2 linked regions of the Oryzias latipes genome follow. The protein of the gene in region 1 interacts with the protein of each later gene in a biochemical or structural test. Links are inferred from orthologs where the notes say so. Each region holds a gene or a part of one and is shown in the gene's direction. Other genes may lie near its edges.

The links.
Region 2: the proteins of myo5b (region 1) and rab11fip2 form a complex in vitro, tested with the Homo sapiens proteins (2 studies listed by BioGRID). The link is inferred for Oryzias latipes from reciprocal best matches to the Homo sapiens genes MYO5B and RAB11FIP2.

The regions. Positions count from the first base shown.
Region 1 is NC_019870.2:391,513-395,430, reverse strand, and holds the start of myo5b (unconventional myosin-Vb), read left to right. Parts: upstream 1-1,200; 5' UTR 1,201-1,324; coding exon 1,325-1,450; intron 1,451-2,491; exon of another isoform or gene 2,492-2,980; coding exon of another isoform or gene 2,981-3,007; intron 3,008-3,918. Other genes in the region: cfap53 (cilia- and flagella-associated protein 53), read left to right, coding at 1-125, 221-323, 403-607. UniProt on the Homo sapiens protein: May be involved in vesicular trafficking via its association with the CART complex. The CART complex is necessary for efficient transferrin receptor recycling but not for EGFR degradation.
Region 2 is NC_019873.2:30,137,181-30,140,998, forward strand, and holds part of rab11fip2 (rab11 family-interacting protein 2), read left to right. Parts: intron 1-41; coding exon 42-120; intron 121-2,657; coding exon of another isoform or gene 2,658-2,723; exon of another isoform or gene 2,724-3,009; coding exon 3,010-3,234; 3' UTR 3,235-3,818. UniProt on the Homo sapiens protein: A Rab11 effector binding preferentially phosphatidylinositol 3,4,5-trisphosphate (PtdInsP3) and phosphatidic acid (PA) and acting in the regulation of the transport of vesicles from the endosomal recycling compartment (ERC) to the plasma membrane.

The DNA.
Region 1 (3,918 bases):
GCTGGAGGAGAAGCTCCGTGAGGTTTGGACGAAGCGGGAGGAGAAGAGTCGACTGCAGCGGGAGGCCAGAAACCTGCTGATGGAGCAGGTGATGGAGGCCCGGCGCCTCCAGATCCAGAACAAACGTGAGAACCTTCCTCTTCATCCCCGTTCCCTCCACCAATCAGCTTCTGACTGAGGCTGAGCATGCGTGTGCGTACATGTGTGTGTGTGCTCATAGTGGATAAGAGCCGGCAGAAGAAGGCGGAGCTTCAGAAGGAGAGGGAGGAGCTCTGTAGAGCCACAGAGGAGTCAAAGATAAAGGAGGCAGAGGAGAAGAGAAGGTAGATCTCTTGTCCTGTCATATGAAAGAAACCCTGTGTATGTGTGACATCACTTCCTGTTTCATATGGCGGGCTGCAGCCGGAGGTGTGCGGCGGTCGCGTACCGGGACGACCTGCAGGCTCAGATAGCGGAGCAGCAGCAGCTCTGCAGCGTCTGGAAGGCTCAGGAGGACAGGGAGCATCGGCAGGGCCTGCTCCTGGAGGAGATCTACAACCGCAGGAGAGACCAGGTTCTGGCAGAACCCGAGTCCCACAGAACCAGCAGGCATCCGTTCCGGCACTGAGGGGTTCATTCAGTTCATAAATAAAATCATCAAAGTCTGATGAGATTCTGTGTGATTTAACCTGTTGGAACCTTAGAGGCCCTCCTCTGTGAGGAAAAACGGCTCCTGGAAAAGAAGAAGAACCTCATCAGAGCTCAGATCACAGCGTCTGATTCAGAGAGGAACTAAAGAAAGATCAACAGAATCCAGTGTACGAACCACAAAGTTCGGTTCTTCCTGCTTTTGGATCAGAGCGGATTCTTGGTCCTTTCAACGCAGAAGAGTGGGTCCTCCTCAGTGGTCCGCTTTGATGTCTGGCCTGTTTTGAAGGTGGAGCTGTGTCTGAGGATCCACATCAGCATTAAAACAGAATTCAGGAAGAGGCATACAGAGATTCCTTCTGATTTCCAACCAGATAAACACGTTTTTCCTAAAATCGTCTCCAATAAAACAGGAGTTTGTCTGGACTGACTCACCAGCAGAGCGTTTTGAGGACACTCCACCTGCATCCTCTGCACCACCATCTTTAAGTCAGCCTAAGGCTAAGCTCCGCCCACTCAAAGTCTGTACTGTACTGTAATGTTCTGGTTCTGATCTTCACTCGGTGGAGTCAAATCACAACTGTGATTCACACCGGATCGTATGGAACAAAGCCTTTGATTGGCCGACGCGTCACTCGTCACTGTTTTAACAGGTTGGACCCGACAGCCGCCGTTCTGCTTTTCAGGTCAGGGCGGGATGACGGCTCATACCTGTGGCAGGTGTGGTTTGGGCGGGACTCGCCTGATGTCTGAGCTCAGACCGTCTGAGAGCAGCAGACGCTCTAGACGGAGGATGAAGGTGGAATACAACCTCTACTGCCAGGTACACACACACAGGAACACACAGGTATACACACACTCAAGTACACACACACACAGGAACACACAGGTATACACACACAGGTACACACACACACACACAGGAACACACACACACAGGAACACACACACACACAGGAACACAATACACACACAGGTACACACACACAGGAACACACAGGTATACACACACACAGGAACACACAGGTATACACACAATCAGGTACACACACACACACAGGAACACACAGGTATACACACACACAGGAACACACACGCACACACAGGAACACAATACACACACAGGAACACACACACACACACACACAGGTACACACACACACACACACACACACAGGTAGACACACACACACAGGAACACAACACACACACAGAAACACACCCACAGGTACACACACACAGGAACACAATACACACACAGGAACACAACACACACACAGGAACACACCCACAGGTACACAAAACATGTACACCCCACAGACAAAGATAAACACACATTTAGGTAAATAGGCACACACGCACAAAGATACAGACATCTACACAAATTTTCTTCCTAGCGTTTCCCCTCAGCCAATCAGCTTCCTCCATCTAACCCTGTGTTCTGCATCCTCTAACAGCAGCTACCTTTATTTGTTCACTCATTTAGACACACACAAAGATACACACAGGTAAGCACACACACACACCGTGGGAAGTGGTCATTTTTTAGTTGTGTAAAGACGTTTGGGGAGAACGTGCTCTTGATTGTGAGAAACGACCATGAGCGTCCTTCTCTATTCAGTCCAGTTCAAATCAAAATGCTAGAATCAACTGTTTGATAAGCGTCGGTCCAGAAAATCCGCCTCGGTTCGGTCCTGGTTTCCTACAGAAAGCCGCCAGGGACATGTCCAGTTCCAGCTTTGCTTTTGTCCCGAATTAACAATTCGGCTGGTCGGTCGCCAGGGGGCGGTGTTCCTCAGGCTCCTTTTGTTAACTTTCCTGAAAGTTGGAACATCAGGTCACGTGATCGTGCCAATGTGTGGCAGGCGCGCGCTCGTCTGTGGAGTTTCGGGTGCCTCACGCGCGCTGTCTAAACCCACGGATGTCGCCTTGAGAAAAGGGCGGGGCTCTTGGGCTCAGGGGCCCCGAGAGTCCTATCCACTGCCAGCTTCTGACCCAACAGACCCGCCTTTGGGAGTAACCCCGGGACTGCTGCGTGCGCGCACGCGCGGCGGAAACCTGGCGCATCTTCAGCCAATCAGATGTCGCGTCAGGAAACACGGCTGTCAGGAAGAACCGGCCTCCACACCTGCGCCGCGCGCCTCTTCTGGACTTCTTACGGTCCGGTTCTGATAAAAGCTGCTGTTAAGAGTCACCGACGGTCCAGTTCGAAGCGGCACAGCCTCTCTGTCAGAAAAAAAACTGACCGAAACTCCCGCGGACACCTGCTGCGGGCTGCGTGGACGAGACCCAAACCGGGTCTTAGGGTCTCATGGGTTCTTAGTTCCAGAGCGGTTCGGATCTGGACGAGACGATGTCCGTGAACGACCTGTACACGAAGGTGAGTCTTACCTGAGAAACACCCTCACCCCCCTTCCCCCAACCCCCGGCTGCGGGGCGTCTTGGACATCCGGAAGTTACTCTGCGACTGAACCGAACCGAACTTTTCGTTTCCCGGGTCAGAGCTCCCGGAGCGGCGGCACCTGTCGCTCACAGCGGTGACGTCACTCTCAGGATGGTGACCGGAAGTTAGAGTAACTCGTTAGGCAGCGCTGTACCGCTTTGTTCTGTGTGGGGTGAGGGGGGCTTTGGGGAGGGGGGGTCTGTAGCTCTGATACCCCCTCCCTCCTCCCCACCACCCAGGGCATTAAGGTTGCATTAAATCTCATGGGGTACCGGACCCACAGGCGGGTTCCGCTCTGGACTGAAACGTCATTGCTCTGTGGGGGTACAACCCCCCCCCCCCCCCTCGTGTTCTGGTACGTACTTGAGGTTCTGTCAGAACCAGAACCTGGACTCTGAGGCTGAGGATGGGGATCGGAGCAGAAATTCTGTGGGGGGGTTGGGGCAAGCGGATGCAAAAAGCGCCTTTTTTAAAGCACAGGTGTGGGGCTCTCAGAGCATTGTGGGTAATGAAGTTCTGTTTTCTAGACACTGAGCTTCAGTTCTTCCTCTGGGGAAGTTTGATTTTTTTACTGTTGCAATAAAATGAATGAAGACACCCCCCCCCCCCCAGCCATCAGCAGAACCTGGATGTTGGACACACTGGACTAAAGCGGACTTCATGATTCTGATGCTTCAAGGTGTTTGTGGGCCGACCAGGACCTGTAGGGAGGAACTCTTTGAGGATCAGGATCTGTCTGGGTCCTGGATCTGGAGGAGGGTTGTGGTTCTGGTCCTGAAGGTTTGGTTTTCTGATCGTTTGATTCACTGCAGGTACTGCTTACCTGGGTCAGGTGTGTCTAAGTGCTA
Region 2 (3,818 bases), on another chromosome or scaffold:
TGTGTTCTCCTGCTCACCGGTTTCATCTGCTTGATTCAAAGCGAGAAGAGGCAGACAGGAAGTGACGACGTTTCTTTGGGCCTGAAGAAGAAGAAAAAAGACATTTTCAACACCAAACATGTAAGAAACTCCAAAGACGTGATACAAATATCTAAATATCTCTGGTAACTGCATGTGGAGGATTCATTGTTGTTCATTTCATCATTTAGTTTTTTCTGGTGGAGGTTTTTCCAAACGGAGCCGTCCGTCTGTCTGCTGGTCTGTAGACCTTCACATGATGCAGCCTTCAGCTCATTAGCAGCTGCTCCCGACCCGGCAGAACCTACAGTGCAGTCACATGTCTGTTCTGTGCTCCTGTCCGTCAGGCCCGACCCGGCAGAACCTACAGTGCAGTCACATGTCTGTTCTGTGCTCCTGTCCGTCAGGCCCGACCCGACAGAACCTTCAGTGCAGTCACATGTCTGTTCTGTGCTCCTGTCCGTCAGGCCCGACCCGACAGAACCTTCAGTGCAGTTACATGTCTGTTCTGTGCTCCTGTCCGTCAGGCCCGACCCGACAGAACCTTCAGTGCAGTCACATGTCTGTTCTGTGCTCCTGTCCGTCAGGCCCGACCCGACAGAACCTTCAGTGCAGTTACATGTCTGTTCTGTGCTCCTGTCCGTCAGGCCTGACCCGACAGAACCTACAGTGCAGTCACATGTCTGTTCTGTGCTCCTGTCCGTCAGGCCCGACCCGGCAGAACCTACAGTGCAGTCACATGTCTGTTCTGTGCTCGTGTCCGTCAGGCCCGACCCGACAGAACCTTCAGTGCAGTCACATGTCTGTTCTGTGCTCGTGTCCGTCAGGCCCGACCCGACAGAACCTTCAGTGCAGTCACATGTCTGTTCTGTGCTTGTGTCCGTCAGGCCCGACCCGGCAGAACCTACAGTGCAGTCACATGTCTGTTCTGTGCTCCTGTCCGTCAGGCCCGACCCGGCAGAACCTACAGTGCAGTCACATGTCTGTTCTGTGCTCCTGTCCGTCAGGCCCGACCCGACAGAACCTTCAGTGCAGTTACATGTCTGTTCTGTGCTCCTGTCCGTCAGGCCCGACCCGGCAGAACCTACAGTGCAGTCACATGTCTGTTCTGTGCTCCTGTCCGTCAGGCCCGACCCGACAGAACCTTCAGTGCAGTCACATGTCTGTTCTGTGCTCCTGTCCGTCAGGCCCGACCCGACAGAACCTTCAGTGCAGTTACATGTCTGTTCTGTGCTCCTGTCCGTCAGGCCCGACCCGGCAGAACCTACAGTGCAGTCACATGTCTGTTCTGTGCTCCTGTCCGTCAGGCCCGACCCGACAGAACCTTCAGTGCAGTCACATGTCTGTTCTGTGCTCCTGTCCGTCAGGCCCGACCCGACAGAACCTTCAGTGCAGTCACATGTCTGTTCTGTGCTCCTGTCCGTCAGGCCCGACCCGACAGAACCTACAGTGCAGTCACATGTCTGTTCTGTGCTCGTGGCTCTGGGTTGGTTTGGTTCTGATCCTCTCTGACTACAGAAGTGCTGTATTTGTACTTCTAACAGTTGTTAGGTTTCAGTTCTGTTCTTTTCTCCTTTAGAAAGTCCGGCCTGTTTCAGCGGCGGCGCTCATGGGGGGGGCAGCAGCTAAAGTGAGGCTTAAATGAGGAGGAGGGTGGTGATAATGGCTTTCCTCACCTCTCCTCGTGGGTGTTGAGGGTTGTCCGTGTCCACACATGTGGCCCTGCACGCCGCTGTGTGCCTTCCAGAAATGGCAGCTCCCATTTCCTCTGCTTCAAGGCCCTAATTAACCACATGCAGTGGGGGGGCAGTGAGAGATTTCAAAGGATTGAGCTTTTAGATTCACAGAGCTGAGCTCATTAGAAACTGTAATGACACAACTGGAGAATGCCAAGTGTGGGCCTTATCTTCTTCTCACTACTGATGGCAGAAAAATGGTCATCATTACTTTGCCAGTTCACGGCCGTTTCCAGGCCTTTGTCAGCAGCTGCACATTATCATGCAGTGGCTGTGCGCCGCTGTGAAACAGGAGGAGAGGGTACGCTCACACGCTGGCACGTAAAACAACATCCACCTCTCTCAGGTGTGCAGCGTCTTCCCGCTAATGCCGGACATTTAATCTGTGGCCAATATTCGGAGTGGGTCTGTGTGGCCCCACAGTAGCCCCAGTAGTGGTGAGGGAGGCGATAAGAAGTCCAGCTCCAAGCCGGCCATTGTCTTTCTGCAGCGGCGGAGGCCTGAGCGGTGCACGGGAGTGGAAGCTGATAAGTGTGGTATTTTAAAGAAGGTGAAGGCTTTTGCAGCTCTATCCGTCTGGGGGAGGACGCCCGGCGCTAAAGCGATAAAGTGCTCCCTCATTAAAAACGATTACAGTTCCTCTCATACCAGCGCAATATGATCTGCGCACACCGTGCCACGCCGCTCCGTCCAAACAGATTGTCCTCAAAGAGCAAAGCGGGGCTTGAGCTGCATCCTTGTAGCGGGGTTTATTAGCCGGACCTTTCATTTTAGAAAAAGGCGGCCTGGCATTTCCCCTCAGACCAGATCCCCCTTTTGCCTGTGAAATCTCAACAGTGGGGCCACATGCAGATCCTGTGTGAAGGAGGAAGAGGTGTCTCATTATGCTGCTTTGTTTTGCAGGGTCACAGTTCAGTCTCATTAGACAGCCAACCTCCTAATTCTCTTGGAGTGACGCTGACAGTTTGAGAAAATACCGTCTGACACTGACGAGCAGCCACATCCCAGCAGCTCTCAATTAGCCTTCATTAGAAACGCAGAACAGCAGACAAACACTTGACATTTTGGGCCAACACACCTAATTAGTCTGTTCTGTTTAATTGGTCTAACGAGCGAACAAGAAGGCCCGTCATTCCTCTTGATTCTGTTCATTCCTGCTCAGCCTGTGAGAAATGCTTTCCCTGTTTTACTCATCAACTCTGCAAACTGAAGCAGGAATGTTCTGCGGCTAAATGCGACTGTTTTGGTGTTGGAGGTGGTGACGCAGGGCCGCGCCGAGGCCTACAGCAGCCTGTCCTTTGAGGAGGTGGTGCAGGAGCTCATCAAGCAGAAAGAGGTGGTGAGAAAGAAGGACGCACACATCAGGGAGCTGGAGGACTACATCGACAACCTCCTGGTCCGTGTCATGGAGGAAACGCCAAGCATTTTACGGACGCCCTACGAGCCCAAAAGGAAGGCGGGGAAACTTTCTAAGAAGTAGGGAGGAGGAAGCAGAGGAGCGTCTGAAAACCTGAAATGGTTGAATTTTACGAAATGGGTGTCTTTTTCTTTTTTACCTTTTTTCTCAAAATGTTGGGTTTTCTAAATCTTCCATTCTTCCTGTACCTCTTTTGTATGATTCCACGAGTTACTCTGCATTTATGGTGCAGGAACAGCCTTTAGCTAACTCCTTAGTCGGACCATCTAAGGTTTCATTTCAAATGAGAAATCGATTTGACCTAATGATACGCCTGTTATCATGGTAAGAACATCTATGACAGTATTAAACGGCAGCATGATGGGACATTTTTCTGCAGAGAAACTGGCTGTAAAAACACTTGGAGGTGTGAGCACTGGAACTTTGTGAGTCATTGAGGGGAAATGTTCCTGCTCAGGGAGTTCTGTACAGCCTGCAAGGGGAGTGTCATGATGTGGGCTTGCTTCAGGTGCTCATTGACACTCGGACTATGAAGAGCAGATGTTTCCTCGATGGAGGAACCTCACTGAGAAGTGGTACGGACAGTGAACCCGGCGGTCTGGTTGTCCGGTAGAAGAGCGCTTTGTGTCTCAGCAAACGTTCGTTGT